4 linked regions of the Notamacropus eugenii genome follow. The protein of the gene in region 2 purifies or fractionates together with the protein of the main gene of each other region. This does not show direct contact. Links are inferred from orthologs where the notes say so. Each region holds a gene or a part of one and is shown on either strand. Other genes may lie near its edges. The genes, in order: PPP6R1, PLK1, ANKRD28 and ANKRD52.

Region 1 (7,961 bases), on a different chromosome or scaffold from region 2:
GATGGAAAAGAATTGGCAGATGTTTCACATGGAAAAAGATGGGGGGGGGGGGGAGCTGAGTGGGCTCCCAGTTCCACAAGCCAGTGATTTGAAGAGGGGCTGCAGGAGAACTTAAGAAGCTAAAAGGAAAAACCTCAAGAAATACAAGAACACTGACCCTTAAGCACATGAGGGGATGCTGTCCTACAGCCAGAGCTGAGACCGGAGGTTCAAGGGGCTCCACAGAAGGGAGGTGGCTTCCTCTCCTGGCCACCCCCCCAACCCAGGACCCTAAGATAGGAAGGGTATCCCCCTCACCCTGCTGCGGCTGGAATAGAGGCTGGTCAAAGCAGAGCCAACAAGAGGAAAGGTAAGGAAATGCCAAAATATCAGCAGTCCCAAGCTGGAAGGGACTCCAAATGTCAAGATGAGGGATGTGACCCTGACTCAGAGAAAAAAACAGGGCCCCTAAAGGGACCATAAACCATCTACTGCTTCAGAGAGGTGGGGCTCCACCAGGGGGCGCTCAAGGGCAGCCAGGGGAAAGGAGGAATCCTGACTGCTAGAGGGAAGAAAAAGGGGAAGGGAGAAAAGAGGAAGATGAAAGTAGAAGGGAAAGGAAAAGAGGAGAAAGGAGGAGGGAGGAAAGAAAAGGAGAAAAGAAAAGATGGGGAGTAGAGAGGAAAAGAAAAGAGAAAGCAAGAGAAGAACAGAGGAGAGGAGGAAGGGAAGAAGGAAGGAGGGGGAGGGGAGGAAGAAGATGGGGGAGGGAAGGGGAGAAGGAGGGAAGGGGAAGGCTCACATTGAAGACCTCCTGCCTCAGCAGGGGCTGCTCCACACACGTCAGCAGCCTCAGCAGCAGGTCCATGATGGCCGATGTCCCGATGTGATGGAGTAACAAGGGAACGAAGTCAGCCTTTTTGCGCAGAAAGGCCACGATCTGAGAGGAGAAGAAACCAGTTGGCTAACCCCTTCCACCATCACAGCATAGGCCTTTTGCAGGGTGGGGCCCCTCCCCCTCCAAGGACTCTTCAATCAAGGCCATCGGCCCCCACCCTGGCAGCTTCTCCTCCAGAGATCCTTCCCACCTCCTCTAAGGCCCCCTAAGGGGCAGGCACTGAATCACTTGGGCACACCCTGGCTGTCTACTTCCTCCATGTCTCCCCAAACCAGAACAAGCAGGCACTTCTTTAATCAAGGTCTGAGTCAGAGGGAGCTCCCCAGGCCCCCAGAGACCTACCTGGTCCGTCTTTCGGTTGATCAAGATCCCCATGACCTTGCTAAAGAAACTGGCCAGCAGGGGGTTCAGGGGGGCTCTGTTCTGTAGGAAAGCATAGAGGCGGCCCAGAAGAGCCTCATCCTCCCCAAGAGCATCGTTGATCTGAGGGACATCCGAGGTCAGGATTTCGCAGGACACACTGGGGTACCTGGAGAAGAGGCAGCTGTCAGGCTCTGCCTAGAGAAAAACAAAAATCTACAGGTACCATCCCGCAACCTGGCCACCTCTCTGGACCTCCACTTCCCAATTTGTAAAACAAAAAAGCACTCCAGCTTAAATTCAATCAAAGGTTCTTATGCTGGGGGGGGGGGGGGGGGCGGTGCCAGAGGGAACAAATCCAGGAGACCAAAACAAGGAGAATAATTAGTGACACCCCCCCTTCCCTCACAGGGGTTCCTTGTACACAGCACTGCATGCTTCAGGATTACACCTGCAGAGAGAGGGCCTGGGGCAGGATGGCCCAGGCCGGGAACAGGATAACCAGCAGGAAAAATAACTGGGTGTGAGATGAGGGAGAGTGATCCAACAGCGTGGCCTGAGCAGCTGACACAAAACCAGCACTCGGACCTGGGCCCTGCCCTTGTCCTTCTACAGGACACAAGAACCAGAGGGAGATGAGGAGAGACGGCCTCACTTGTAGCGAAGCCGCTCGTCACCGGCAGCTGGGGGCTCCCGGGTGACCCAGTCCACGAGGGCCTGCAGATGGGCTGGCCGCAGCAGGAAGTCCAGCAGCTTGGGGTGCAGCACCTTACACTCCTGCAGCACATCCTCCTCATCCAGAAGCTCGGCCAGAGCCAGGTCATCCCTCTGCAGCAGCGAATCGATGTGCGAGCTGGTGTGCAGATCAAACTTCCAAAACATGGCGCCCTGCAGAGGGTGGTCAGAGAAGAGCCTGGAGCAGGTGGGGTGCAGGAGGGGAAGCCCAGGAAAATCCGGCTGCAAGCTGAGAAGGTAGCCCCCACATGGAGCCCAGCTCTCCCCGGGTGTTCTGAACAAGGGGCTCCCTCCGACTTACCCCCTAACACAGGGTCTCCTGGGGAGCAGCCTTCTAAAGGAGGCCAAGAGGGAGCTGGATGGCCACCCTTGAGAGCCATGGGCCCCAGTGGGGGGGGCTCGCAGGGCAAGAGCCACGAGAGCTCCGAGCGGAGGGAGGCCGTGCCAGGGCACAGGCCAGCAGGCCCCCCTGCCCCCAGCTGGGCAGCAGTGCCCGCTGCTCAGGTACTACGAGCAAGGCCCGAGAACGGTCCACGCTCGCAACGAGAAACGCCCTGGGTTCAAATCCCGATCCTGACCGAGCTGTCCGAGCCTCCAATCCTAGACCACCGACCCAACAGGGAGGCTTCGGGCAGGGGAAAGGGCCATCCCCCTGCCCCGAGGCCGGCGTGCTGCGCTGGCCCCAGGGGGGCTCGGCGGTCATCCCCGAGCTCCTCACCCCAGGGTGCCGGCCTGCGCGCTGGATGTGCCCCTCCCAGGAGCCCAGAAATGGAGCGGGGGTCCCCGGCTGTGCAGCCCAGGGACGCGGAGAGGGAAAGCAGGGAAAGGAGGGGCGTTTCCAATGGCAACCGGGGAGGAACAAGCCGAGGAGGCCGTGGGGGGGATTTCCCAGCATCCCCCAGGAGCCCTCCCGTCCAGGGTTCGGCCCGGGCAGGTTCCCCGGAGGGCGGGGCCGCAGTCACCTGGCACCCGGACACCCTGCCCCGCCCCCCAGCAGGGGGACACGCCCGGTCTGCGCCCGGGGGTCTCGAGCCCCGCCCCTTCCCCTCCTCCCCCGGGTTCGTTTCTCCTCCGCTCCCGCCCTCTCCCGGAAGACCCCTGCGGGGCCTCAGTCTCCCCCTCCGCGCAAGGGGCGGGGCAGGGTCACTGACCTGGGCGCGCGAGCAGCGGCAGCTCCGGCCTCGGGCACATCGGGGCGCGCGCCGTGGGGAGGGGGCGGGGCGGGGAAGTGGGCGCGCGCTCCCGGCCCGCGCAGGCGCCCTGAACCTCTGCGCGGTGGGGGGAGGAGGGGCCGCGCGGTAGGGGGGTAGCAAGACCCGCGGCGGTTTCTCCCCCCCCCCGCCCTCCCGCTCCTCTTTCTCCTCCCGCGGGTGCGGGACTTCAGGGCCGGGCCGGGGCTGCGGCTGCTGCTCTGCTCTCGCTCTTGCGTCCGCCTCGGCCGCCCCTGTGTCTGCGTCTGCAGCCTCTGCAGGGAAAGCTCGAGCGCAGAACTGAGAGACGGCAGCAAAATGGCTGGCGCGCAGGCGCGACAGAGAAGCCGCAGAGAGGGCGGGAAGGGGGCGGGAGCTGGTGCGCAGGCGCCCTGAAGCTAGGAGGGGGAGGGGAGCTCACGCAGCCGCTCTAGAAAAGCTCCGCGGGCCCGGGAACAGGCTCACGCGCAGGCGCAGGGGGAGGGGGAGAAATGGCTGCGGAGCTGCCGGAGCCCCGCGACACATAAAAGAGAGCCCAAGGGGGATGCCCCTCCCCTCCCTGGTCCTGCTTCGGCGGCCCTGGAAGGCCGCAGGCAGGCGGGCGGGTCGAATCTTTGTCCTCTTTCTTCGAGGCTTCGTGCCGTCTGTCCACTCACGGTCCCCGCAGCGTCCGTCTGCCCTCCGACCCGCCCGCCTGCCTGCCGCAGCAAGCCAGCCCTCTCCCCTCCACCCCGCAGTCTCCCACAATCCCCCGTGGCGAGGACCGGAGAGCTCAGCGCAATGCAGTGCAAGCCCACCCCTCGCAGCCCATGGCCTCCGTGCGCACGCGCGCCCAGCAGGCAGTCTACCCCCTCTCGGCCTGGCTTCACCAAAACACGCGACTGCGCTTGCGTGCAGGAAAGGCAGCCGCTGCCCCACCGCCTCGGGGGGCTTATAAAGCGGCACTCTCCTGCTGCGCAGGCGCTCTACGCCCCTGTCCTGCTCCCTCACTCCCGCCCCGCACCTCCACCCCCTCGGGAAGTGGTACGCATGCGTACGCGTTCGTCTCTCCGCCCCCGCCGGGGCTGTGTGTCAATTCCCCTCTACACCGCCCCCCCATCCACAATGCTGCCCCCCCCCTCCCCGCCCCCCCGCCCCCGCACACAGACGCGGCACTCGAGGGGGAGGAAGAAACAGCTTTATTGCCAGGGCAGAGCCAGGAGCGGGGCGGGCACGCACGGGAGGGGGCGGAGGGGAGGGAGAGCAGGGGGCTTCGCGGCGCCCCGGGCCCGGCGCCCAGGCTGCCTCCTCCCCGCCTCGGGTGGGCGGCAGGCTGCTGGAGAGGAGCCGCCGGCGGGGCGGGGCTCCATGCTGCGGGGCGCGGGCCCCTGGGTCCCTCCCCAGCCTTCACCGGTCCATGCTGTCATCCGTGGGGGAGGAGAAGCACGCCTGCAGCAGCTTTTCACAGAATTCCAGCTCCTCCTGGAAGGAAGCGGGAGGATCAGGGCTGAGCCCCCCACCCGGGAGCCGCTTCCCTAGGACCCCACCTCAGACCCGGGGGCCAGCCCCGGCCTCTTCCACCTACCCCCCTGCCCCCCATCCTGCTCTCGCCCAGGCTGACCTAGGGACACCCGCAAGACCACAAGGGCTGGTCCCTTCGGGGCCCCTTCGCTACCCCTGACCAGGGCCAGGCTGGGATGGGTAGGGAGAGGCCTCGGGACATTCTAGAACTCCCTCAGTCCAAAGGCTCATGCACATTATTAGCTGCCCCTGATCTGGGCTGTGCCAGGCTCTGGGGTTTTCCCCGGCCTCCCCTCTGCCCTTCCAGGGCCGTGCCTGGCCCCTCTGGTTCCTGGTACTCTCCTAGAGCTTGGGGTCTCTGCTCATCTGTCTCCACATCTCCACTTGAGGACAACTTCCCAACATCACAGAATGGGAGAGCTGGAAGGCTTTGTGAGGTGACAGGAGGACTCCTCATCAGGGCTGGGGGCCCCCCTACGGCTGAATGGCTGGCACTGAGCCCAGGGCTGGTGCAGTGAGGAATGATGCACACATGGGCCTCATGCCCCCAATGAGGAGAGAGCTCTTTTAGGGATAGGCTTCTGCCTCCCTAACCCTGGGCCTAAACCCCTGCCCACAGCCCCCTAGCCTGCTCCTAGGAGCCCAAGGAGAAGCAGCAGTCCCCACCCCTTACCTGGTACTCCTCATGCTGCTGCAGCAGCTGACACCGATGTCGAAGGAGTTCCTCCAGCCCCAATTCAGGCTCCCGGCATTCCCGGATCCCTTGGGGGAAATCTGTCACCAGCCTGTGGAGGGGGATGGCCAGGTCAGCACAGCCCCAGCTGGCCCCAAGATGCCAGCCTCCCACCCTGACCACCCCTAAGATTCCTCTCACCTGCAAAGTGCCCCCAGTACATGCTCGTGGAAGGGGCTGTGCTCTGTTCGGATCAGAGCCACCAGCTGCTGAACCATTCCCATGGAGCACAGGGTGCCTGAGGGTGGAGAGAAGACAGGGTCAAAGAGACATGTCCCCCTGCCTGCCCAGGAGTGTGAGGCAGGTCTTTCTAGAACCTAACCCACTGCTGACTAGCCTTTGAGGCCTACCCTCCCTCCATGATGGGCTCCAAACTGTCAGTCTGCCCCACCTCCCACAGCTTTCCCAGAAACACTAAAATCTGTTCTGCATTTTCCTGCTTTGGCTCCCACTCTCCCACTCTCTGCCTGCTGGTGCCCAGCTCCAAAGGTGCCTTCCCTGTGTCCCCCCATGCCTCCCCCTTTGCCGCCCCCCACCTTTGTGCTCAGGATGGCCCACCAGCAGGTTCTGCAGGAGGAAGGCCGACTTCACCTTCAGCTTCACCACATCCTTCTGCATGGCCCGCATCAGCACCGAAAAGCCATCTAGGCGAAGGAACTGGAGCAGGCCAGCTTCCTGCTCCCGGACCAGGCCTGGGGGCAGCAACAAAGGGTCAGGCCTTTGTTCTTCAGATACCAGGACAGCTCCCAGAGAAGGGGATTGCCATAATAAGCATTAATTATGAGAAGCATAGGGTAACCACCTACTATGTGCCAGGCACTGGGCCCTGCCCTGTAAGTGTTCACAATCTGAGGGCAAACAATCTAAGTAGGAAAAATGTGAAGAGAATGGGCACAGGACTGGGGGAAGCCAGCAAGGTCAGCGGTGGAAGTAGAGAAGGGAGAGGGAAGGCCCACAGCAGAGATAGGACTGGGAGGATGTGTGTGGGAGGAAGATGGAAGACCAGATAGCAGGGAGGGGGCCAAGCCAAGCAGGTCATATTTGGTCCTGCAGGAGGTTAATGAGTAGGGGCTGAGATAACATGGTCAGACCCAAGCTTTAAGAAAATCCTTTATGTGGCTGAATGGAGGATGAATGGGAGTGGGGAGAGACCAGAGACAGGCAGCCCCGCCCAGAGCAACAGCCCAGGGGTGAGGGGCTGCACCAAGGAGTGGTTGTCAGAGGAGAAAACAGGCATGTGGGGGAGATGTGGCAGAGGGGAAATTGACAGGCTTTGCCACCATACTGAATCTGGGAGGAGGGGGAGGGAGTGAGGAGTCCAGGATGACCCCCAGGTTGGGAGGATGGGGGTGCCCTCGATAGTCATAGGAAATGGGGGGAGGGGTTTACAGGGAAAGGTAATAAGTCCTGTTTTGGACATACAAACAGCTGTCACTTTTATGTAAATTCATGTTATCCAAATTTGACTTTATGTGAAGAATTCTGAAAAAAAAAAAATCTACATTCCCAAAAAACCCCTCTGTTTACTTTGCTGTACATGCTGTGTTTTCTGTCCACCCCACAGCCTCCCATTCCACCCCCACAAAAAAAACCCTCCAAGTGAAAGCAGAAGAATGGGCAGGAAAATCCCCCACCCCAGTACCAAGAGAGGAAACTTTTGCCCTGCTCTGCCTACCCGGCCATGTGTCCAGTCCATGTGTCTGCCATCAGTACCGCTCAGGTCCTGCATATCTATCTCTCCAACCTCTCTTGTCTAGACCATGTCCATGCCCCCTCCATGCCCCTGGGTTCTTCCTCTTGGTTCTCGCCAGGCCCCGCCCGTCACATGCTCCACCTGTCCCCTGCCCCCTCAATGCAAGGGCACACAGTCCCCTTCCTGCCTCCATGCAAATTTGCATGACATAAAAATCGATTTACATAGAGGTCTGGGGTCCCCTTACAGTTATACAGGAAAATTCTACATTGAGTTTAAGATATCTAACTGCACATTCAGTTGAAGATGTCTGAAAGGCCATTGGAGATGCAAGATGGGCAGAGAAAGGGAGATCTGAGAATCGTCAGGATAAAGATGGTCATTAAATCCATGGCAGCTGATTAAGGAGGACAGGGGAGAAGAGGAGCCAGGACAGATTTGGAGGGACACCTCTGAGGGTCTGATCTGGTGGAGGATCCAGCAAAGGAGGCAGAGAAGGAAGGAGTGGTCAGAGAGGAAGGAAGAGAACTGGAAGAGAGTGATCAGGCTGCAGCAAGAAGGACGAGGAAAGAGAAAAGGTCACTGGATTTGGCCACTAAGAGATCTTTGGTCACTCTGGAGAAAGCAGTCTGGGTGGAATGATGAGGTCACAAGTCAGAAGAGTAGGAGGAGGTGACAGCCTTTTGGGGGAGTTTAGCCACAAAAGGCAGGAGACATGAGGTCATGGACAAGAAGTCCAAAGTTACAGATAACAACATCCCATGGAAAGGAGGCAGAGGGGCTTGGAGTCCTCTTCACAGAAGGCACCATGAGGGCACCAGGAGAATTAGGACTTTTCGGTCCTGCCTACACTCCCAAAGCCTTGGCCCCACC
Region 2 (7,385 bases):
TTAACTTCAGTAAGGTAAGACAATTTTATAGTGTATATGATGCTGATTGCACAATAAAAATTTAAATAGAATATTTGAATATGATTAATATTTAAAAGGCAGGAGGGGGTTTGTTAAGAGATTAAGTAATAGGGGAGGGTTCCCAGCCTGGGTGGAACTTTGTATGCAGTTACCGACAGTACATATAGAAAAATCCAAAGGGGGTAAAGGGGAGCATGTACGTATGATAATGAAATTATAATAATCCTCTCTACACCATAACTTCACTCTAGGTCAGTTCTTTACTATTACTGTGAAGGTGCTATCTTAGGGAGGGCCCCTTCTATGGTTTGGTGGTCAAACATCCTGCTCTACATCCTGGCAGTGCTGCTGATTGGCTAACTATTGTGGTCCTGTCTGGTCAAGATGGATGATGTGGTTGAGGTTGAGTGCATAGACATACCTGTTTCTGTGGAAAATATGTGAATTGCATCTGGGGGTAGAGGCTAGCTAAAGGATTAAGTCTGGTGGCAATGGCTGGCTAGGGGAAATGGCTAGCTAGAGGCAGTGGCTAAGTTGAGTCTGGATGCAGTGGCTAGCTAGAGGCAGCAGGTCTGCCGATGATTGAGTTTGAGGACCTATGGTATGATTAAGGCCAGATTGTATGGTCAAATCAAGCCATACCTGCTGTTTAGTGGGGCCCATAAGGAAGTTAGAATATTGGGGCTGATTTAGCAGCTCTATTAGGATTCCATCAATATTGGGAAAGAAGAAATGAAAAAAAAACATTAAAAAATGAAAATAGTATGCTTCGATCTGCATTCAGACTCCATCAGTTCTTTCTCTGGTTGTGGATAGAATTTTCCACCATGAGTCTTTTGGAATTTTCTTGGATCATTGTATTGCTGAGAAGAGCCAAGTCATTCATAGTTGATCATCATACAATGTTACCATTACCGTGTACAATGTTGCCCTGGTTTTGTTCATTTCACTTTCCATCAGTTCCTGTAAGTCCTTCCAAGTTTTTTCAAATTCATCTGCTCCTCATTTCTTATAGCACAATAGTATTCAATTGCATTCATATACCATACATTCCTCAATTGATGGTTATCCCTTAAATTTCCAAATTTTTTGCCATCACAAAAAGAGCTGGTATAAATATTTTTGTATAGGTAGGTCCTTTTCCTTTTTCTTTGATCTCTTTGGGATACAGATCTAATGGTGATACAGCTGAATCAAAGGGTATGCACAGTTTGATACCTTTGGGCTGGATCTGTTCACCACTCCACCAACAGTGCATTAGTGTCCCAATTTTCCCACATCCACTCCAACATATATCATTTTCCCTTTCTGTCATATTAGCCAATTTGATAGATGTGATGTGGTACCTCAGAGTTATTTTAATTTTCATTTCTCTAATCAGTAGTGATTTAGGGCATTTTTTTCTTCATCTGAAAACTGCCTGTTTATATTCTTTGACCATTTAACAACTGAGGAATGCCTTGTATTCTTAAAAATTTGACTCATTTCTCCATGTTTGAGAAATGATGGTGCCTTAACTTCTGTGATTAGATCCTAGAGTTGGTCTCCAACTCTCCTATAGTCAGTCAATAAAAACTTATTAAGTGCCTTACCCTGTGCCAACTCTGTGCTAAGTGCTAGACTATATTGAGAGGATACAAGGTGTGTACAAGTAAGCAAGGCAAATATGAAGTATGTCTGTAGAAAACAATATAAAGTAAATTATTTGAGTGGAAGTAAAAACAAAAAAATGATAAACATCCTCTGCTTTCAAGAAACTTATATTATATATAATAATATATTAATAATTAATATATTACATATTATAAATTAGATGCAGGATTGTACTGGTAAATGTTTAGCTCTCTGGAAATGTTTGTAGCTGTAAGGTAAGACTCACCTTGTAGTCTGTAAATGTTTCCAGCTTTCTGGAAAAATGTAAGCATGACACATTTTTTAAAAATTCAAATAATATTCTACTTTCCCCCCAATTACATGTAAAAACAATTTTTTAGCATTCTATATTTTTTAAGCTTTGAGTTCCTAATTCTATCTTTCCCTCTCTCCTTCTTGAGACGGTAAACAATCTAATATAGGTTATACATGTACAATCATGTGAAACATATTTCCATATTAGTCATTTTGTGGAAGAAAACTTGAACCTGAAAAAGAAATGAAAGAAGCAAAGAAAGTGAAAAAATAGTGCACTTTGGTCTGTATTAGATGCCATCTGTTCTTTTTCTCAAAGGGAAAGCATTTTTCATCATGAATATTTTGGGATTCCAAGACACATTTTTCAGTCTAATTTGTATTATTATTTTCTTCATTTTTTTAAAGTCTAGAAATCAACAAAACAATAAATTTCTAATTCATTGCACTTGCTGATTTCCAAGATGTAAATGCTCACACGGAAAATTTTAAATGACGCTCTCTCTAGCAAATATGAGTTTGTTCCAATACCTCTCCGATTATATACTTGAAAACTTAAGGAGGGAGAAATCAGTAACAGCCAGGGGGAATCAGGAAAGCTTCTGGTAGGAGGCAGCATCTGAACAGAGCCAAATCAAGGATTATAAAAGTCACAGCTCAAGAAGTAGTGCATTCTGAGTGTGTGGGATGAACTTATTTGATTGTTCATACAAAGGCACTGAAGACTGAAAATGGGACCCTCGAGTCTGGGGAAGAGCAACTAGACCAATTTGACTGGACCCTAAGTACAATAAGTTTGCTACAGGGGTAGTGAAGGATTTTTCTATATTCCACACCCAATCCTAGAGTTATTAGGGAGCCCCTGAAGGTTCTTCAACAAAAAGGCATCATTTTAAGAAGGGGTTAGTGAAAGTACTGGAGTCCTTGTCTTACAAAGTGGAGTTTAAGGAACTGAGGTATATTTAGAATGGCAAAGAAATGACTGGGGTGGGATGGGAGAGAAAAGCGAGTGGAAAGAAGACCGGAGAAATGGCTGCCTACAAGTAGTTGTAGGACCGTTGTATCATGGACCGTTGTATCCAAAAGGAATTAGCTTGTTCTGCTTGTCTCCAGAGGGCAGAACTAAACCAGTGAGTGTAAGTTATAGAGAGGCAGATATACTCCCCATCTTAAGAAAAGCTTACTAGCAAATAGAGTTATGCAAAAGTAAAACTGTTTCGCCTTTGGAGGAGGATATAAATATATATGTATATGCATGTATGTATTTGTTGAGGTTTGGGAACCATGAGGTTTGGGGAACTCAGGACCCCAAAATACGGACAAGCCAGTTCCTGCCGAATGAATTCGACTCAAGACTTCTTCTAGCAAAAGTAAAGCAAAGTTTATTAAAGGTTTGCCATGTTGGATTGACTCTTAAGGAGCCTTGCCATTTGCGATGCTTGTATTAACAAGTGGGCCAAATAGAAAGTTGGCTAGACAGTCAAAGCTAGATTGAATCTGAGCCCCTTCATGGAGGTGAGATGGAATTTATATAGAGAAAGTCTGCGGGAAAGATCTAGAGGTGGTGTAGTAGTCTGGGAGGAGAGTCTAAGGAGGATCTGGAAGAAACTAGGGTAACTAGTGATGTAATGAAGGGTGGGAAACAGCTGGAGGCAATTGGGAGGTATCAGACTATGGAGAGCTTGAGTGGGAAGTAATGGAAGATGGGCTAGGCTAGGTTAAGGGTCATAGATTTGGGTATAAAGTCCAGATTAAGTGGGAAGATTCAAGCAGAGTTCAAGGAGCTTCTCAGAGTCTGTACCCCACCATATTTTATCCTTCAGTCTTGTCTGACTGTGACCCATTTAGGGTTGTCATGTTAAAGATACTGCCATTTCCTTCAGCTCATTTTAGAGATGAGGAAACTGAGGCAAACAGGGTTAAGTGACTTGCCCAGAGTCACACACACACACGCATTACATACACATATACACATACATGCATACGTATGAATGCACACATATACACACGCAAATATACACAGATACATAAGCGCCCACTCGGTAACACTAAAAAGGAGATTCTTGTTCAGCTACAGACAGCTCCTGGATGGTTCGTGGTCCATCATCAATTGATTTCCTCCTCCCTGGGGGTCCTTCCCAGGCCAGTCACTGCCACAGATCGCTTCTCCCTCCCTCCTTCTTCCTCCGTGGTGCAGCACGCTCAGCACGCTCAATCTCCAGGCTTCCCAGGACAACCAAACTTGACAGCGGCCCCCCACTCGCTGTCAATAAAGTTTGTTGAAAGCTCGGCTTGCCTTCGCAGGTGGGGCAGGGGCTAGTGGGTGGTGGAGGCGAGGGCTCTCCCATCGTGCCCCGCGGTAGGCGGGTTTGGATTTTAAATCGCTGCAGCCAATCGGCGGCGCGGACCGCCCCGTAACGTTCCCGGCGCTGGGTTTGAATTCTGGGCTACTTGCACTGACCCTGCAGCCGCGCCGCTTGGGGCTGGCAGAGTGCAGCCGAGCTGTCCTAGCTTAGCCCCGCCGAGCTGGCCTAGCGGAGCTGGCCTGGCCTAGCCGAGCCTAGCCGAGCCGAGCCGAGCCGAGCTGGCCTAGCGGAGCTGGCCTAGCCCAGCCGAGCCGAGCCGCAGCCGCTGCGCCGCACCCGGGCAGGTCCAGCCGGGCGAGAAGCAGCGGGAGGAGGACGGAGCGGCTGCGGGCGGAGCTGGGAGAGGCGGCTGGGGACGGCGGCGGCGGCATCATGAGCGCGGCGCCCGCGAAGCTACCCCTGCGGCAGCCCGGCGTGGGCTCCTCGGAGCCTCGGGGCAAGCCCGCTGTCGGCGGGGCCGGAGCGGGCGGCGGGACCGGGACCGCGACCGCCCCTCCTGCGGCCGCCCCGGACATCCCCGAGGTGCTGGTGGACCCTCGCAGCCGGCGGAGCTACCTGCGGGGCCGTTTCCTGGGCAAGGGCGGCTTCGCCAAGTGCTTCGAGCTCTCGGACCTGCAGAGCAAGGAGGTGTTTGCGGGCAAGATCGTGCCCAAGTCGCTGCTGCTGAAGCCGCACCAGAAGGAGAAGATGTCCATGGAGATCAATATCCACAAGAGCCTGGTCCACCAGCACGTCGTCGGTTTCCACGGCTTCTTCGAGGACAGCGACTTCGTCTTCGTGGTGCTGGAGCTGTGCCGGAGGCGGGTGAGCGCCCCGGAGGTGGGGGGGACGGGCGAGGAGACGTTAGTGCCCCGGGGTGCTATCAGAGGGGTGGAGGGCCTGCAGGAAGGACTGGGGGTGGGGCGTGCTTCCTCTCCGATCTCCCCACCAAGCGGTCACCATAGAACCGGCGTGGGCACTAGCGAGAGCCCGGGAGGTTGGGGGCCGGGCCCAGCTAAACCCAGAAACTGGCTCCAAGTTCCATCGTGCCCTTGAGTTCTCAAGTTCGAGGCCTCAGTTCATGTCTTGAACCCTCGGGGCTCGGGGAGAGAGTGGATCCCCTGTGAGTTCTTTCATAAGCAGCATTAGGGTGGAGTAGCTCTGTTGCCCCCCCTTCCCCCCCCCCCCCGCAAGGTTTCCACTCACACGACCCCCTCCCCACCCCGATAACAGAGTCTGAGACCCCTTGACTTAGCGCGTGTCTCTTCTCGCTGCCTCCCACAGTCCTTGCTGGAGCTGCATAAAAGAAGGAAAGCAGTGACTGAGCCTGAGGCCAGGTATTACCTTCGCCAGATTATCCTAGGCTGTCAGTATCTCCACGAAAATAAAGTTATTCATAGAGACCTCAAGTTGGGTAATCTCTTCCTCAATGATGACATGGAGGTGAAGATAGGTAAGACTGGGGAACCCCTAACCAAGCTGGGATTTTGTACAGGAAGTGTAACTTCCTAAATGGACCTAATTCCCCGTTGAATAATCTGTGTGGCTGTCCAGGAAAGACCCTTAAGCAAAAGTCCCAGGGATTAGTCTAAAGTCTGTGTGACTGGAGCCTTTTCCACAAGCCAAATTTTATAAACTTCTTTTTGGCTTTGCTGTTAAATCATTCCTCTTGGCAAAAGTAAGCAGTTATGCTTAAATGCACAACCTTATGCAAGAGAGCTACAGATTGAAGAAGATTTAGTCCTAAAATGCTTGCAGGAAAGTGTATGCCCAGAGTCATATTTTCCTTGCACAGCTCCATGTTTTTTAGAAAAGGATAGGGATGGAGATGGGGGAGGTGAGGGCAGCCACAGGTTGGTAGCTAAAAGAATACTGTAGAAAAAAATCAACAACCCATGCTTTTCTTTGTTTCTTCTGTACAACAGAACTGGGCAACCAGGGAACATAGACATGGTCCAGGGTTTACTGTGGAAAACAAAAGGAATTCTGGATCTAATTTCAAAAAAATTTGGAGACAGGCACCTATTATACAAAGGAGGATATAACTCCTTCCCCCCAATCCCCCCAGTGAGATGAGGCAGGGGTAGTAATGTTCTCTCTGGGTCTTTAGATTACCCTAGTCTAGGGAGATGGGATAGAAAAATTATATTTTATATTGTAGGCTACAATAGGGCCAGCTTTGTTGAAAAGGCCCCAGGCTGTTAGGTGCCAGAAGTGGGCATCAGTAACAACCTACATGGGACTATGGGTCAAACCAATCTGGATTCCTGGGAAGAAGAATGATTTGCTTCCTAACCCTTATTACAGGTGACTTTGGATTAGCAACCAGAGTAGAATATGATGGTGAACGTAAGAGGACCCTCTGCGGAACACCGAACTACATAGCCCCTGAGGTGCTAAGTAAGAAGGGCCACAGCTTTGAGGTGGATATCTGGTCCATTGGGTGTATCATGTGAGTAGTAGCTTAACTGGATTCTTTATCAGGAACCCAAGAGACAGGCAAACCTCCATTTATGAATAGGCAAAACCTGGCCTTCCTTTTTTAGCTCTCTGTTATCCTAAGAACTATTTAGTCTCAGGGACGAGAAGAATAGAAGGAAAGATGATCCAGGGAAGATGAGATTCCAGTGACAGTGAGATATTCAAGAACACTGGTCTTTGGGGACAGTGAGGAGATGGGCAGGACAGGTGGAAGGGTTAACTATTGCTTTTAAGTGATTGTGGTTATCTGAAACAAGATCCTTAGAGAGCAGGGGGAATGGAGCCTTGTTTCCCTTGATGCTGGCATCCCACTGAGGGCCTCTTCCATCCAGTACCAGTTTTCTTCCCTTTGCCTAGGCTTGGCCTCAGGAGCTGAAGGATATTTTCCTAGGTCGTTCACCTTTTGCACTTGCTTGCAAAAAATTGGCTTCACAAGTACAAGATGATGGAGGCATGGTTCCAAAGTTTGTTTGAAAAAACTCTCTCAGTATCTGAGTACGGTACAAGTTCAACATTAGTCATAAGTATAATGTGGCAGCCAAAACTAATGTGATCTTGGGCTACATTTAGAGGCAACACTTCCAGTCAATCTGTAAGGAAGTAGGAGGTGATTATCTTACAATACCCAGA
Region 3 (7,762 bases), on a different chromosome or scaffold from region 2:
GAGTGAGAGTGTGTGTGTGTGTGTGTGTGTGTGTGTGTGTGTGTGTGTGTGTGTGTTCTTCTGGAATAATGGTTAGTCACTGTGTTGGTTAAAATTGATTATCTTTACAATATTATTGTTGCTGTAGAAATTTATTTTCTGACTGCTCACTTCACACTGCATCAATTATACAAGTCTTTCCAGGTTTCTCCAAAACTACCTTCATTATTTCCTTTAGCACAGTAGTATTCCATCATATTCATATACCATAACTTGTTCAGCTATTCCCTAATTGATGGATGTCCCCAGGGTTTCCAGTTCTTTGTCACTGCAAAAGGAGCTGCTATAAATAATTTTGCACCCATGGGCCCTTTTTCTTTTTCTTTGCTATCTGGGTGTAGACCTAGTAGTGGTATTTCTGGGTCGAAGGATATTTACAGTATAATTCCAAATTATTTTCCAGAGTGTCTGGACCACGTCACAGCTTTACGAACAGTGCTTTAATGTACCTGTTTTCCCACAGCCTTTCCAGCATTTGCCATTTTCATTTTTTGTCAGCTTTGTCAATCTGATAGATCAGATGTAGAACCTCAGTTTTAATTTGCATTTCTCTAATTCTTAGTGATTATCATTGTTCAGTTGTTTCAGTCTTGTCCAACTCTTTATGACCCCATTTGGGGTTTTGTTGGCAAAGATGCTGGAGTAGTTTGCCATTTCGTTGTCCAGATCATTTTACACGTGACAAAAATGAAGCAAACAGGGTTAAGTGAATTGCCCAAGGTCACATAGTAAGTGTCTGAGGCAGAATTTGAACTCAGGTCTTCCTGACTCCAGGCCCTTCACTCTATCCATTGCACCACCTAGCTGCCCCAAAAGAACTTCCTTTGTCTTATCAGTATTGTTTAGTCGTTTGAGACTCTTTGTGTTCCCATATGGGGTTTTCTTGGCAAAGATAATTGAGTAGTTTGCTATTTTCTTGTCTGGCTCATTTTACACGTGAGGAAACTGAGATCAACAGAGTCGCATGGCTAGCTCGCAAGTGTCTGAGGACACATTTGAACTCAGGTCCTCCTGATTCCAGGCCTGATGCCCTATACTTTGCCTCCTAGATTCCCCTTTTAGTGGTTTAGATTTTTTTTTTTATGTCAGTTTGATTCTTGCTCTTATAAATTTGAGTCAGTTCCTTATATATCTTGGAAATGAGATGTTTATCAGAGAAAATTATTAGCAAGAATTCCCCCTCCACACACACACACACACACACACACACACACACACACACATTTACCTGCTTCTCTTCTAATTTTAGCTGCATAGGTTTTGTTTATGCAAGAACTTGAACATTTTATCTTCTTTGACCCATTTCTATTTTTTTTGGTCATGAACTCTTCCTCTCTTTATAAAGTTGCAGGTAATTTTTCATATCACATCATCCTTTATGTCTCAGTCATGAATTTGGAGCTCATCTTGTAGATGATGTGAGATGTTCTTCCATACCTAGTTTTTTCCAGTCTATTTTACATTTTTCCCCCATAATTTTTGTCATAGTGAATTTTTGCCCCAAAACTGGGATCTTTGTATTTATCAGATACTAGGCTACACTACATTTGCACTGCATATTGTAGGCGATCTATTCCACTGATTAACCTATTTTTTTAACCAGTTGTTTGGATGTTTATTACTTTATAGTATAGATTGATATCTGGTTCTTCTAGGTCCTTTTCCTTCAGATTTTTTCCCCCATTAATTTCCTTGAGATTTTTTACCTTTTGTTCCTTCAAATTAATTTTTTATTGTTTTTCTAGATCTATAAAGTAATCCTTTGGTAGTTTGGTATGGCGTTGAAAAAGTAAATTTAGGTAGTATTGTCATTTTTATTATATTGACTCAGCTTAAAATGAGCAATTAATATTTCAGTTTAGATTTAGATTTATTTGCTATTTAGATTTGTATTTGTATAAAGAATATTTTGTATTTGTGTTCATATAGTACCTGAGTACTATATCACTAACTTTTGATTAACGGGGATGACCTATTAAAAGGATATGCTGTTGTGCCAAGCAGTTTCTGTTTAGTGTGGGATATAATAGAGAACCACTGGAGTTTGGGAGGAGAATACATTGGGGTGGGGAGAGAGACTTGAGGCAGACAGACTAACTAGAAAGCTTTTGCAGTAGTCCAGGCAAAGGGTAATGAATCATGCATTAGGTTGTTGCTTGTGCTAGTGGAGAGGAGACAGATAATGAGAGATGTTCAAGAAGAAATGACAATATTGGGTATTCGATTAGATATGTGGGGGCAATGGGAGTATCACCGAGGTTGGTGGCCATGAGGATGGTGGTAGTCTTCAAGTGTAGTAGAGAAGCTAAGAAGCAATGAGTTCTGTTTTAGACACGTTGATTTTGAGATACCTAGGGGCCTTAAGGTTGAAGGTGTCTAAAAGTCAGTTGGTGATAGGAGACTAGAGCTTAGGAGAAAGCAAGGGATGTCTGTAGATCTTGGAATCATCTGCATAAAGATGATAATTGAGCCCAAGGGAGCTGATTGTGATCATTAAGTAAGGTAATATTGAGGGATAAGAGAATAAGGTCCACCAGAATAGGGTCATGCTTAGTGGTCATGACCTGGATGAAGACTGACAAAGCAGTTGTGGCTAGACAAGAGGAGAATCAAAAGAAAGAAATGTGGGGTGGAGGAGTAGAAAAAGCAGTGTCATTACAACCTTGGGAGAAGAGAGTATTCTTAACAGTGTCAGGTCCTGCAGAGAAGTCAAAAAGGATGAAAACTGAGAAAAAAGCCATTCACTTTGGCAGTTAGATCTTCAATAAGTTTGGAGATGGAAGTTTCAGTTTAATAACGAGGCTGGAAACCAGAATGCAGAAGGTTTTAGAAGAGACACGAGAGGCAAGAAGCATAGATCATTTTCTCATGGAGTTTAGACCCCCCCCCCAGAAGGGAGGAAAAATAATGACTCCTGTCAAGTATGATAGAATCAGTGGAGGTTTTAATGATTAGGGAGACATAGTAATAATAGCTAGCAGTTATATGTGCTAAGCACTTTACAAATATCTCATTTGATCATCACGGCAACTCTGAGAAGTAGGTCCCCATTTTACAGTTGAAGAAACTGAAGTACATTTGAGGTTAACTGAGATTAAATGACTTAAGATGTCGGAACGATGTGAGATGAGGAAGAGGACATAAGGGGGAGCTTATTGGTGAAGTTGAACTCAGAAGGAGGGGTGGGATACGTAAGGTGAAGTGGAAGACTTGATGAGAGGCAATGTTTGGAACAGTTTCTCTGGAGAGTGGGATATTGAACCAATTGTAGAATAATTGTCTCGATGTAGTAAGGGTCCAGTTGAGATTGTGTAACAAATGGTGGTGGATCTAGTCAGCAACATTGGTGATTTTCCTGAGTATGAAGTGGCAGATGGTGGGAGTTTGGCTTGATCAGGAGTAGGAAAAGAGAAGAGGATAGTTCACCAAGGGTTAATGTAGAAAAAAGAAGGGAGTGTAGCCAGTGGAGGGATTAGAGCCTAGGAAAGAACTGAGGGATAAAGAAAATGGTAGTCATGGGGAGGCTGAAGAAGAATGTTGGGGTTGTAAGGCATGGGATGGGGAAAGATGGGTATGATGAGATGAAGACATTTCTGAGTTAATATGGACATGAACCACTTATTTTGTGATAGCCTTATCAAGGTCACAGTTGACATGAAGGAGTAAGTTGGTCTTGGGAATTGAGCACATGATTTTAAGGTGCTTGAGGAAGCATTAACCAATATGTATTGAAGTCTTCAGTTTGAGGGCTGGAGTTGTGGAGAGAAAGATTATGTAAGATTATGAAAGATTATTTAGTCAGGCAACTCATTAGGGAAGAAGGGAGATTGTGAGGGGTAGGGTTTGGAAGGATCCAGATTGGGGGATAAATTTGGAAAGCTTGTACCTTCAAGAAGAGGTTGCTGAATGATGATAGTAGAGGGAGAGTCTGAAAGTGGCAATGAAAAGCCAGAAGTCTTCCAGTTCCCTCTCAGAGCAGGTTTTGAGGTATGAATTGTCGTACCTTGGGGTACAACCAGGTGGGAGCATGTGTGTTCCAGTCGCCTAGTAAGAGAGTAGAAGGGGTGGTGGAGAAAGACTCACTGAGGAAGGAGGGAGCATATCCTGGGAGCAAATTAAATAACACTCTTGATTGAGGTACACATTTGGAGGGGTAGTAAATAGAGCCTGGACCTGGACTCAGGAAGACCTGAGTTTAAAACCTGGCCTCAGATAACTTTACTTATGTGACCGTGGGCAAGTTACTTAACCTGTTTGTCTCAATTTCCCCAAGTGTAGAGTGGTGATAATACTATCTCTCAGGGTTGTTTTGAGGATCAAACGAGATGATATTAATAAAAATGTTTGGCACAGTGCCTGGGACATAGATGGTACTGTATAAATGCTTACCTAACTCTTCCTTATTCCCATATTTCATCACTTGAAAGTAAGGTAGTACAGATTCTTAAGACTTTGCCCACATTATGTGAATGTCTTCATATTGAAATTTTATGTGATACTTTGAATTGGAAGATATCTTAAATAGATAACCTAATTTCTGTCTTTCATTTCTGTAATAAGCGGAGAGGCAGCATGGTGTAAGTCCTGCTTCCTAAGCTGCTATATAGAAGTATCTGACCGACACTGGTAGAGGGATAGTGCCTGTTTGCTAATATGCAGGAATCATGGATTAATATCAGTAAGAAACTTGTCTCATATGTGTATATATATAATATATATACATATATACATATGTATGTCAGTGAATAGAAGAATTTCCAGAAATTTTTTTGTCATATCTTGTTTTGTACATAGTTGTTTGCATATTGTCTCCCCCATTAGACTGTGAGCTTCTTGAGAACGGGGTCTATTTTTTTTTTGCCCTTTTTTTATCTACCCCCAGCGCTTTGCATAGTGCTTGGCACATAGTAGGTATTTAATAAATGCTAGGGGAAGTACAGCTACTTTTAGATAGATGTGAGTCAAAATGATAAATTTACAAGAATCACAGAAAACTCATTCATTTAAGGTACTGATGAATGTGGTTAGCTGAAGTGTATTATCCCTATTTTTTTTAATGAAGATACTGAGATGTAAGGAGGTTATACACTTACTAGTACTATCTAGCTTGTAGGAAAAAATGATAGTTTTGGTTTGAAATTTCCTGAAGAATATTTGTTGCCTTGTAATTATCAAAATTGTCTTTCTAAATAACAAAAGTTTAGCCTAAGGATGTGTCTGTCTAGGCAAATGTCTGTATTTGGTTGCAGATTTTCTCTTATCTCTAAATCCCATCCCAGTACACTGATACCAGTTTTGCCAGGACGTCTATTTTAACAATTCTGGTTAGCATGAAAGGGTTAAAGTGGCTTCTATACAGTAACATATGAAAACAGTTAAGCTGTTTGGAACTGTTTACTTGCATAAATGGATGTTAGTCAGCAGAGGCAGTATACCAGGATACCAGATTTCTTTGTGGCTTTTAGTGGAAAATGTTAAAAGCACGCTCATTTTTCAGCTAAAGAATTTTTTAGTTTGATCTGAATTAGTCACAGAACTGGCATGGGCATTCTAATTGTGAAGACTTTACAAATGTGGCCCTTTTTGGGGGGTGGCTAGAGGAAGTTACATCCTGAGCAGTGGCTCAGTTCTGTGGTAAGTGTAACATGTGAGCATTACTAGGCATTTTATCCTGCGGGTCTGCAGTCTGCTCTTCAGACTAGGCTCAGTCGGAATGCTGCTGTGGGGCTGATTTTTCAGGTCCTGTGGTTGATTTTTCGTCTTTCTTTTTAATGATCAGTTCATTCAAGGGGTTTGTGGCTTTTTCAAAATCATCTACTGAACACAGAAACATCTGAAATCTACTAAAAAGGCTAGCAGTGGAAGGAAGCTGGATTGGCACCGACCCAGATGTTTGAATAAAAGAGTAGTCGGAAAGAAGATGCACGGAGGATTTTTTTTCCCTTGAAGGAGGACTGTATAATGGAAGCTGGATTCATGCAGAGATCAAAGGAAAACACTCAAGTGATAAACTACTTTGTAGAGGAAAAGGTCGAAGCAGTGATTTGAACAGTTATTTGAGCTTCGTAGCTTCTTTAAACCGTTAAGATTTTATTTTGCTAATACCCTTCTTGTTGTGGGTTATTTGCTAGAACAGCCACAGCCAACTGCTGCTTGATGGAGGAGGAATGAGGGCTCTGCATTGCCTGTGCTATTGATGAAAATACAGCTCTCTGCATGCTTGCCGTTTGGGAAATCTCGATTGAACAGGCCATATTCTAACACCAAGAATTTTCTTATTGTCCCTCGTGACCTGACTCATTGCCTGTAAATGTATTGCAGCTTTGCTGTTGATGCAGAAGAGTGGGTTTATTTTTTAAACGTAGAAAGAATTGTCAACCTCTGAGCTCCATGTTCTGAATTTGTGCTGAGCACAGATGAATTTTTTCTGGAGTATATCAGCATTAAGACTAGTGAAACTGAAGAAATGAAGGTTTGACTCTGAGATGGAGATAGAATAGTGAAATTTTAAAATTTGTTTTGATCAAAGAAAGCCAGCTATACGTGACCAAATTGACCTTGCCCGAATTGAGGATAACTGGGATAGACTCTGTCACTGCAGTTGCTTCTCCTTTCAGTCAATACAAAGTGGTGTCATGTCACCCCAAACAATGACCTCTCTGTGCTAACAAAATTCTGCTGTGAAGACAAGGGATACTAAAAAGGCATAATTTTTTTAAAGGATAATTTTTCAAATGAATTTAGATTATACCTGAGATTAATTTACAAAGGTTTTGTTTTGGGTTTTACTAATAATTTATGTAGTAAAGAACTAGTGACTTTGAACAGAATAATAGGACTTGGCAATTTTAGAGATGTTTCAAAACTGTAGGGGGTCAGTCACCACTGGAAAAACTGAAGTTTAAAATTAACTTTTAAATGCCAGCTGTAGTACACAGAATGTTCGCAAGTGTGTACAGAAGAGAAAGACATACTCCCTGTGCTATATCAACTGTAACTTTTGCTATATAGTTTGAAATTTAGTGTTTTAAACGAATGAGTCGGGTGTGTATTGTTGTTTTGGAGGAGATAGAAGATGAATCTCCAACATTTGTTTCCAAATTGCCTCAGGAAAATAAATTCCTTCCATCTCCAGCTTCTGGAAATGCATTGGTAAGATGTGATAGTTTCTTAAGTATTTTTGTATTCTGGTGTAATATGAGTGATTTTTTTTTTTTTTTGCTTTTTAATAATAGACTTTTTAGTCATTTATGTTTTCAGTTTGCAGTAATATCTACCATGTCAAAATGTAAAGTGAATATGTTTCTGATATTCTTGGAAGATGAAAAACCTTTGAGATAGGACAAAGGCTGTATACTTTCAACTTTAAAAAGGAAAATTAACCTTATGATTTATAATATGATTTCAGTCTGACTGTAGATTGCCTATAGCCTAGTGAATATAAATATATTTTGTCTTTCACTTCCTTTCTTTCCGTGTCTAATCTGTAGTTTGTGAAATTGAGGTATCAAGTAAGAACTGGGAGTTCTCCCTGTTTTAGGAGAGACTGACTGCTACTAGTAAAACAGAAGGCCTGGCATTTACTGTAATAGCTTGTATATTGTTTACATGTACAACTTTTATCTAGTACTGTGTTATCTTTAGCCTTGTTTTAAAAGCTGTTGTCAACTCCTTTAGAACATGATATCCTATCATAGATACTTATGCTGTTGATTAGGAAACT
Region 4 (7,867 bases), on a different chromosome or scaffold from region 2:
ATAATGAGTTCAGTTTGGAATATATTGAGTTTAAAATGTCTACAGGACATCCAAAAAGCAATTGGAGATGTGAGACAGGAGGTCAGAGGTTAGAGTTGGATAAGTAGATCTGAGAATAATCTGCACTGAAACCATGGAAGATGATGAGATCAAGTGAAATAGTATAGAGGGGAAAGAGAAGAAAAACCAGGACAGAGCAGTGATTAATGGGTGTTGTTCATCCTTTGTTCTTGAAGAGGACCATGACATCAGGAAGACGATGCCATGACTTGAAGGTGAATTGGATTTAAGTGAGGGAGGGCTGTGCAAGGTCACCAGTCTCACTTTCTTTTCTGGAGCTATCTGGATCCAGTGGCAAGATTTAGATCAGGACCACTGGAGATGGCCCCTTTCATGGAAATGACCTGGATGAAGATCGAGGAGACAGAGAAGGAGTGATTAGACAAGTATAAATAGAACTAGGAGAGAGAAAAGTCATGTTGTTGACTAGAGAAAAGTCAACCTAGTGAAAAGAGTATCAAGGAAGGTGACTGACAGTGTCAAAGGTCAAGAAGTAGGAGAATTGAGAGACCATTAGATTTCACAATTAAGAGATCATCAATAACTTTGGAGAAAACTGTTTCCATTGAATGGTGAGGTCAGAAGCCAGACTCTAAAGAACTGAAAAGAGAGTGAAAGGAAAGAAAGTTACAGAGACAGAAGGCAGGTGGAGATGGGGGGAGAAGAAGTAGCTTTTAGTGAATGGACTTCATTTTTTTTTCCAAAATATAAGCAAAGGTTTTCAGTTGAGAGCGTTGGAGAGGAGGAGCTATAGAAGGTTCAAGGAGGGATGAAAAGGTTTGAAAAAACTGCTGTGATTCATGAGATAGTGAATCAATTGGGGATATGTAAAAGGATTGACTTGCTGCATTGAAGGCCCACAGTCCATGCCCTCTTGTCTGGCTAGGTTCCTGCCCCTCCTGATCAGGCATAAAGGGGTTGGGGCACAATCTCTAGTCATGAAACAGAACAAAATTAACTGGGATATGGGATTGAACCCATATCCTCATTTGCGTTGTACTCTGATGTAACTACCACAGATTTCCTTAGATCCTACCTCCCCGTAGATCTGCCAGGTCAATTTAACTTACTATCCTCCCAAAAAATGATATTTGCTAATTATTGCCTCTTGTGCTTTCACTCCTAAACTTCCTGTCCTTTCTCTACTAATTCACTTTTACCACTTCGTCTTGATTCAAAACTCCTCTTCTCCAAGAAGCATTCTCTGATTAATTTTACTCCAATTTGATTTCCTCAGTCTTATATCATCATTCAATGCTTTCTTTTAAGGTTTATGTTATTTTAACTGAATTTTATGTTTCACTTTGAAGGAATTCTCTATTGCTTATGTGTTTATCTCCTCAAAAAGATTATAAATTATAGAACTGATTTCTTTTGCATCTTTCCCCCACAACAAATGAAGTGCTCTGCACACAGGAGAATCTCAAAAACATTTATTAAATCAAAAAATGAAAAACTAAATGAAAACCAAGGCACAGAAAAAGCAAAACACTTGAGATCTATTTCTCTAACTTTGACATAGAACCCAGTCTCTAGAAACAAATCTTTTCTAGCTTCTCTGAGCCTAAAGTTTCAAACTTGAGTGTTCTGACTCCCATATACTAGCCCTCCCTCCCTAGGTTCTTTTTATTGGGCTCAGGAAAAAAAAAAAGCAGTCTTTACTATTTTATGTTCCTTTTTCTTTCACTGGGGAATCTCCTTCCTGTGCTGTTTGATGATAAAAATAACTCCTTCTCTTCATCCAGCTGCCCATGGAACCCAGTAAGTGCCTTCTATTCACCTTCACCCCATCCCAGACCCAAACATGTGACCTGTGTTCATCCTCTGACTAGTGTTCCTCATATTTCCCAGGGGCTATTTTGGGCCATATCTTTGGGCCAGTCCTCTAGTGATATAACTCTCCTCTGGAAATTGTCCTTTCTCCCCTAACCCTACTCCATACACTCCTCTTCTTGTCTCAAACTCTTCATTACATATCACTAGATAAATTGTTAAGAACTGAAAAGTATCTTAGAGATTATCTAGTCAAAATATCTCATGTTGCAAATCAAATATCTCAGAGATTCCAAGTCATGTGCTCAGGATAACATAGCGAGGAATTTATGGAGATGAGATTGTGTCTCTTGAATCCACTAGAGTTCAAGGTACTTTTTACCACACCATGCTGTTTTCCATATCATCATAAGCATGTCATCAGTTTGTTTACACATGTTTATATGGTAGGTGCTATACAAAACAATTTACAGTTCATACAAAACATCCTTGTGGTGCTGAGCATCTTGGATGTCAAACTGAGAAGATTCCTGTTCATAAGATGATTATAACCTAATCAAAGAGTTAGGATGTACACATATCAAAAAGATACACAAATGAATACAATATAAAGGTCCCGTAGTATATATGGCCTTTGTATACCTTGGGGGGGGGGGGAGGGTTAGTGCAACTCCTACCTTCACTGAAGAGTTTGGTCCTCAGAGCACTTGCCAGGTATATATTTCCCTCAGGGTTTTAAAGGTACCTCTGAAGAGGAAGTAGGTATCTTCCTAATAATACTAGGGGCTTGAGCCATGTTCCAGTGTATCCTTGATATCATTTAATAAATTAACAACAATTAACTTTTACAAAGGAATACTTAGTAAGAAGACATAGGAAGAACAGAAATGCAAAACATTTTCCCCAACAACTAGGACCCAGCCCTGTAGTATATTTGTTCTCTCATGGAGTCATTAACTTCTGTGTGGCCCATTCTAATTTTCAGGTACTTTGTGGCTTAGGTAAGTTTTGTATCTCTTGTATCAAGTTGTTAATTCTCTTTCTAAGATGTTCTTCCATAGCTCTCATTTCTTTTCCAATTCTTTCCTCTAACACTTCCATTTATAAAATAATCTTGTGAGTCTTAAAAAGATACACATGAAAAAACAACCCCCTTGCCTCATTTCTTGTAGGAATTCTAGTTGAACTTGTGCCCAAGTTGTGTTTTACTTTAGGTTATACATGTAGATGTTTTGGGGCCATTCTCTTCTCAGTTTGTGTCTTAGGTGCTCCTATCACCATAAAAGCTCTTTGTGGTAAGAATCTATTTTTCTTTGCTCATTCTTCCTGAAATCTAGCCTTAATTCTGAATTTTAGACTGTGTTAAGGCCTTCATACAGGGCAAAGCCTAATTGGTTTCTTTGTTCTCTGAGTTGTGCAACCTCCTAATCTGAATTAGGGTCAGAGCAACACAACTGTGTACTTGGCCCTGGTTGGAGCTCCTGTAGAAAGCTGCAGAACTCAACTACTATAGGCAATCAAAAAAAAAAAATGCATATTCAGAGTGATAGAATTGCAGGCTCTCCTTTATCTTCAGACTGGTCTGGAGGTAGAATCTGAGATCCTATTGTACTGCCAGGGTCAGAACCACATAGCTGCTGTTTGCTTCTGTTCCTGCTCCTTCTCTACTACAGGACCTCAGCTCGCAACTGCTGGTCCTGGACCTGAGACTTAGGTGCACTGGATCTATGACCCAGCTCTGGAATATGAGGGACAGACCTTCCAGTTGGCATGTGTCCTTGCTCTTTGGACAGTATCAGACCTCTCTGCGATAGATCCAGGAGGTCTTCTCGCCCTAGTGGACAGTCACTAGCCCTTATTCAATCCCTGCATTCAGCTCTGCACTATGACCCTATTCCCAGTTTCAAAAGGTATTTCTGTTCTCCTTTACCAACCTTGGCTGGAAAAATTACTCAGTGATTTTTTTTCTTGAATTTCCCCATCAGGATTCAGTCTGGTACCTTTCCTATATGTTGGTGGAATTGTGTTTGTCCTTTGCTCTTAAAAAGGACCATGACATCAGGAAGATGATGACATGACTTTCAGTTGACTTTAATGGGAGGGAGGGAGGGCTGTGCGAGGTCACCAGCCTCACCTTCTTCTCCTGATCCATCTGGGTCCGGTGGCCTGACATTCATCAGGACGGCTGGAGATGGCCCAGGGGGCGGTGGAGACCCTGGAGACCCTGGCCCTTGTAGGCGAAGGCCTTGGAGAGGATGGCTGCTTTCTTGTACTCTGCCCTCTCGGCCAGCCCCTACACAGCTCAGCTGCGGAGTCCTGCGGGCGAGGACGTGTCTTGGTCCATCGGCTGTAACCCATTTCAGAAGTAAATGCAATGGGGCGGAGTTCTGTCCTCTGCGCAGAGACCCAGGCAGTAAGCAGAACACGTGTGGCCCAGCGGCTGGGGGTGTTTGTACTTCTCCGAAGGGGGCGCGTCCTGACTCTGGCCAGACTACACTCTCGTAAAGCGCTCTTCTCAGCTTGCCTCCTGGGGGACGCGGTTCGGTGGAAAAGCATTAACGCGGGGCCGGAGGCTGGAGCTGGAAGGCCAGCTCTGTTCCCAGCAGTGTGAGCGTGGGCCTCGGTTCTCCCTTCTGCAGAATGGGCTGGAGGGCTGCAAGGGAGATCCAGGCTCAAACTGACCTCAGGCCCTCTGTGACATGAAGAGACTGGACCACACGGCTTCTGGGTTCCCTTCCAGTTCGGGAATTATGCTGCGCCACGTGACTACTACACTTGTGCAGGGTTAAACCCTAGAAGGCTGAATTTCCAGAGCTCCCCACACTTCTCCATCCCTTTTCAGATCTGGGGAGCGCTGCGGGTCAGGCTTTGGCCAGCAGGGGGAGCTGCGCGCTTGGGTTTGACAGTCGGAGCTGGAGCTAGATCCGGCCACCGGGGGGTGCTGCAGGGTAGGTTGCGGCGCGCTGTGGAGCCAGACTTGGCCGCCAGGGGGCGGAGCGCCGCCAGGTCGGATCGCCACCGGTGCTACGGGACGGCGGTGGGGCCGGCAGGCCCTGGCGGGAGGTCCGGGGGGCCGGAGCTGCGGGGCCCGGTGTGGCCGCCAGGGGGTGCTGCCGGCTCCCGCTCGCCCGCCTCCCGGTAGGCGGGGCCCCGCTCTCCCAGCAGCCGCTACCGTCGCTGCTGCTGCCGCCGCCGCCGCCGCTGCCCCGTGTCCCCGGTGGAGCCACCGCCGCTGCCGCCGGGAGCTCGATGCGGACGGAGCCTGGGCCGGGCCATGGGGATCCTCAGCATCACGGACCAGGTTAGTGACGGCGCCGCCCGCCGCCCGCCGGGCGCTGCCGCCACGCGAGCTCGGGGATGTGCGGCCTAGGCCTAGCCCGCGCCCCGGCCTCCCGCGGCCCCGGGCCCCCGCGCCCCGGCCCCCCGGCCCCCCGGGCCGGTTCCGGTCCGCCCCGCCCCGCGCCGCCCCGCATCGCGCACACCCAGCCCGCCCGCAGGGCCGGCCGGCCCCGCCTCCGCGCCCGCCGCCCTTGCGGCGGTGACAGGGCACCCGGCGGGCCCCTCGCGGCGCTTCCCGGCCCGCCCCTGAGCCGCCCGCCCGCCGCTCTCTCCCCGCAGCCGCCCCTGGTCCAGGCCATCTTTAGCCGGGATGTGGAGGAAGTGCGCTCCCTCCTCTCGCAGAAGGAGAACATCAACGTGCTGGTGAGCGGGGGGCCGCCGGGCCCCCACCCCGCCCCCGCCCCGGGGGGAGGCGCCCAGCAGGGAGAAGGGGGGGCCGGAGCGGGGGTCCGACCTTCCCCCTGTGCCCGCCTGCGGGATGGAGGGCTGGGCACCGGGGTGTCAGGTCGGCGCGACCCAGCGCGGCCCTTCCCTTCAATAGGACCAAGAGAGAAGAACCCCTCTGCATGCTGCTGCCTATGTAGGAGATGTCCCCATCCTCCAACTGCTACTGCTGTCAGGTAAGAGAGGAGGCCAGGGCGCGGCGAGGTGGGGCTCTCTGATGCCTCCTCCTGGTCCCCAAGCCCAGCCTCCCCACATGCCTTCTTTACTTGTCCCCAGGTGCTAATGTCAATGCTAAGGACACACTGTGGCTGACCCCCCTACATCGCGCTGCTGCCTCTAGGAATGAGGTAGGCTCAGCTGGGCCCTTCTGCCTTCTAATGAGGTGGATGGTGAAGTCTTATTCCTCTGTCATCCTCCTCTAGAGTCTCATCTCCTGTACCATCTGGAGAGGAAAGTCAGATCTTGGCTCCTCCCTCCTGACCTCTGGGCAGGCTGTTTATGGGGGGCTGAGCTCTGCCAGCTGATTTGACGTCAGGGGCAGCTTAGCACTCTGCTGGCAGGCTGCAGGGGGCTCCAATGCCAGGCCTAAATGACTCATCTCTCCCTGAGGGGCCACCTTAGAGCCTGCTCCCCTTTTGAGCCCTGGGAAGAGCAGGAGAGGGCCCCTCCCAGGGCTACCCTGGTACTCTCCTGGCTTGAGCCATCATCCTAGAGGTCACAGCACAGTGCTCAGAAGGAGTTACTGAGGCTGATATATTAAGGGGTAGGGGGCTGGCTAGGTTTTGACCAGGGAATGGGGATGGAGGTCATCTGTTTTCTTAGCTTGTTATTGAGATTGATTTCCGTGGTTGTGGAAGGGTTGAAGGTGGGTGTGTACATGAAGGTGGGAGGCTTTATTTTTCCTGGAATTCCCATGGGGGTAGGGAGGATCAAGGAGTCTTTAGGATGTTTACTTTTGCTTGGGGAAAGGATGTAAGGGGTACTAAGATTACTAAGACTGGGAGAATGAAGTTAATTTGGCTTGAGGACGGGTCTGTGTTTACCCTGGAAAGATAGAGGTTCTATTCAGATGACTGTCAGTTGGTGTTAAGGTGGTTTGTATGTTTTCTTAGGGAAACCGGGAGTAAGATTGTGGGGAAGAAGGGATTCTGTATTTACTGGATGTTGAGGCTGTTCTCATTTCTAGAGTTAAGGCACCCATGCCAAATCATCCCCTCACCTCCTGTTCTTTGTTCTTCTTGTCCTGATAAATTGCCACTAACAGAAAGTACTGGGGCTGCTCCTAGCACATTCCGCAGATGTGAATGCCCGGGACAAGCTATGGCAGACACCACTGCATGTGGCTGCTGCCAACCGGGCCACCAAATGTGCTGAAGCCCTGGCCCCGCTGCTGAGCAGCCTTAATGTGGCCGATCGAAGCGGGCGCAGTGCCTTGCACCATGCCGTGCACAGTGGGCACCTGGAGGTATGGATTCCACTCCCTCACTGCCTGCTTATAACTTGTCTGGGGCATCCAGACACTGTGGTTATGGGGCTTGGTTTTCCATGCCCATCCCCTGGTCCTTTCCCTTTCCTAGTCTCTGCTTTCTCATTAGTCCCTGTCCATGGTCCTTTCAGCAATATATCAGTTTTCTCCTCAGTTTCCTGAGAAAGTGGAGAAGCTTTAGTATAAGATGGCTGGGGATAGGGAAGGGTGGAAAGGGACTTATGCCAGGCTCTAAATGGAAATGTCCCCTGTTCTCACACAGATGGTGAACCTGCTTCTGAACAAGGGGGCCAGCCTTAACGTCTGTGACAAAAAGGAGCGGCAGCCACTACACTGGGCAGCCTTTTTAGGTGAGGAAGAATCTTGGAGCAAAGAAAATGTTTGGCCTACATAGGCATAATTTAGAGTTTGAGAATTCTGGGGTAAAGGACCTGAAGTAGAGTTTATTCTCCATTCCCTTTAGCTTTGCCTTATCTCATTCCCCTCCCCTGCTTTAGGGCATTTGGAGGTCCTGAAGCTGTTGGTGGCCCGGGGTGCAGATCCTAGTTGCAAGGACCGGAAGGGCTATGGACTGCTCCACACAGCTGCTGCCAATGGCCAGATTGATGTGGTCAAGCACCTGCTACGGCTAGGGGCTGAGGTCAGGGGGTTGGGAGACTAAGGTTAGGGATTTAAGAACTGTAGAAGAGGTTATGTGGGAAGATAAGGTCAGCATAAGGAAGCTTAGGTTTGGTGGATCTATGGGCACTGGGGAGGTTTGGGAGG

The links.
Region 1: the proteins of PLK1 (region 2) and PPP6R1 purify together in Homo sapiens (affinity purification with mass spectrometry; 3 studies listed by BioGRID and IntAct, with this or other methods). This does not show direct contact. The link is inferred for Notamacropus eugenii from reciprocal best matches to the Homo sapiens genes PLK1 and PPP6R1.
Region 3: the proteins of PLK1 (region 2) and ANKRD28 purify together in Homo sapiens (affinity purification with mass spectrometry; 6 studies listed by BioGRID and IntAct, with this or other methods). This does not show direct contact. The link is inferred for Notamacropus eugenii from reciprocal best matches to the Homo sapiens genes PLK1 and ANKRD28.
Region 4: the proteins of PLK1 (region 2) and ANKRD52 purify together in Homo sapiens (affinity purification with mass spectrometry; 3 studies listed by BioGRID and IntAct, with this or other methods). This does not show direct contact. The link is inferred for Notamacropus eugenii from reciprocal best matches to the Homo sapiens genes PLK1 and ANKRD52.

What each region holds. Positions count from the first base shown.
Region 1 is NC_092876.1:17,896,447-17,904,407, forward strand, and holds the start of PPP6R1 (serine/threonine-protein phosphatase 6 regulatory subunit 1), read right to left. Parts: upstream 3,010-7,961; 5' UTR 2,868-3,009; coding exon 2,691-2,867; intron 2,671-2,690; exon of another isoform or gene 2,274-2,670; intron 2,260-2,273; exon of another isoform or gene 2,126-2,259; coding exon 1,893-2,125; intron 1,407-1,892; coding exon 1,220-1,406; intron 920-1,219; coding exon 782-919; intron 1-781. Other genes in the region: HSPBP1 (hsp70-binding protein 1), read right to left, coding at 4,549-4,623, 5,336-5,447, 5,537-5,633, 5,932-6,087. UniProt on the Homo sapiens protein: Regulatory subunit of protein phosphatase 6 (PP6). May function as a scaffolding PP6 subunit. Involved in the PP6-mediated dephosphorylation of NFKBIE opposing its degradation in response to TNF-alpha.
Region 2 is NC_092872.1:81,487,030-81,494,414, reverse strand, and holds the start of PLK1 (serine/threonine-protein kinase PLK1), read left to right. Parts: upstream 1-4,373; 5' UTR 4,374-4,667; coding exon 4,668-5,099; intron 5,100-5,558; coding exon 5,559-5,727; intron 5,728-6,581; coding exon 6,582-6,726; intron 6,727-7,385. UniProt on the Homo sapiens protein: Serine/threonine-protein kinase that performs several important functions throughout M phase of the cell cycle, including the regulation of centrosome maturation and spindle assembly, the removal of cohesins from chromosome arms, the inactivation of anaphase-promoting complex/cyclosome (APC/C) inhibitors, and the regulation of mitotic exit and cytokinesis.
Region 3 is NC_092874.1:38,157,220-38,164,981, forward strand, and holds the start of ANKRD28 (serine/threonine-protein phosphatase 6 regulatory ankyrin repeat subunit A), read left to right. Parts: upstream 1-4,749; 5' UTR 4,750-7,074; coding exon 7,075-7,191; intron 7,192-7,762. UniProt on the Homo sapiens protein: Regulatory subunit of protein phosphatase 6 (PP6) that may be involved in the recognition of phosphoprotein substrates. Involved in the PP6-mediated dephosphorylation of NFKBIE opposing its degradation in response to TNF-alpha.
Region 4 is NC_092874.1:231,520,038-231,527,904, reverse strand, and holds the start of ANKRD52 (serine/threonine-protein phosphatase 6 regulatory ankyrin repeat subunit C), read left to right. Parts: upstream 1-4,858; 5' UTR 4,859-5,107; coding exon 5,108-5,134; intron 5,135-5,451; coding exon 5,452-5,535; intron 5,536-5,713; coding exon 5,714-5,792; intron 5,793-5,892; coding exon 5,893-5,963; intron 5,964-6,880; coding exon 6,881-7,081; intron 7,082-7,364; coding exon 7,365-7,452; intron 7,453-7,599; coding exon 7,600-7,742; intron 7,743-7,867. UniProt on the Homo sapiens protein: Putative regulatory subunit of protein phosphatase 6 (PP6) that may be involved in the recognition of phosphoprotein substrates.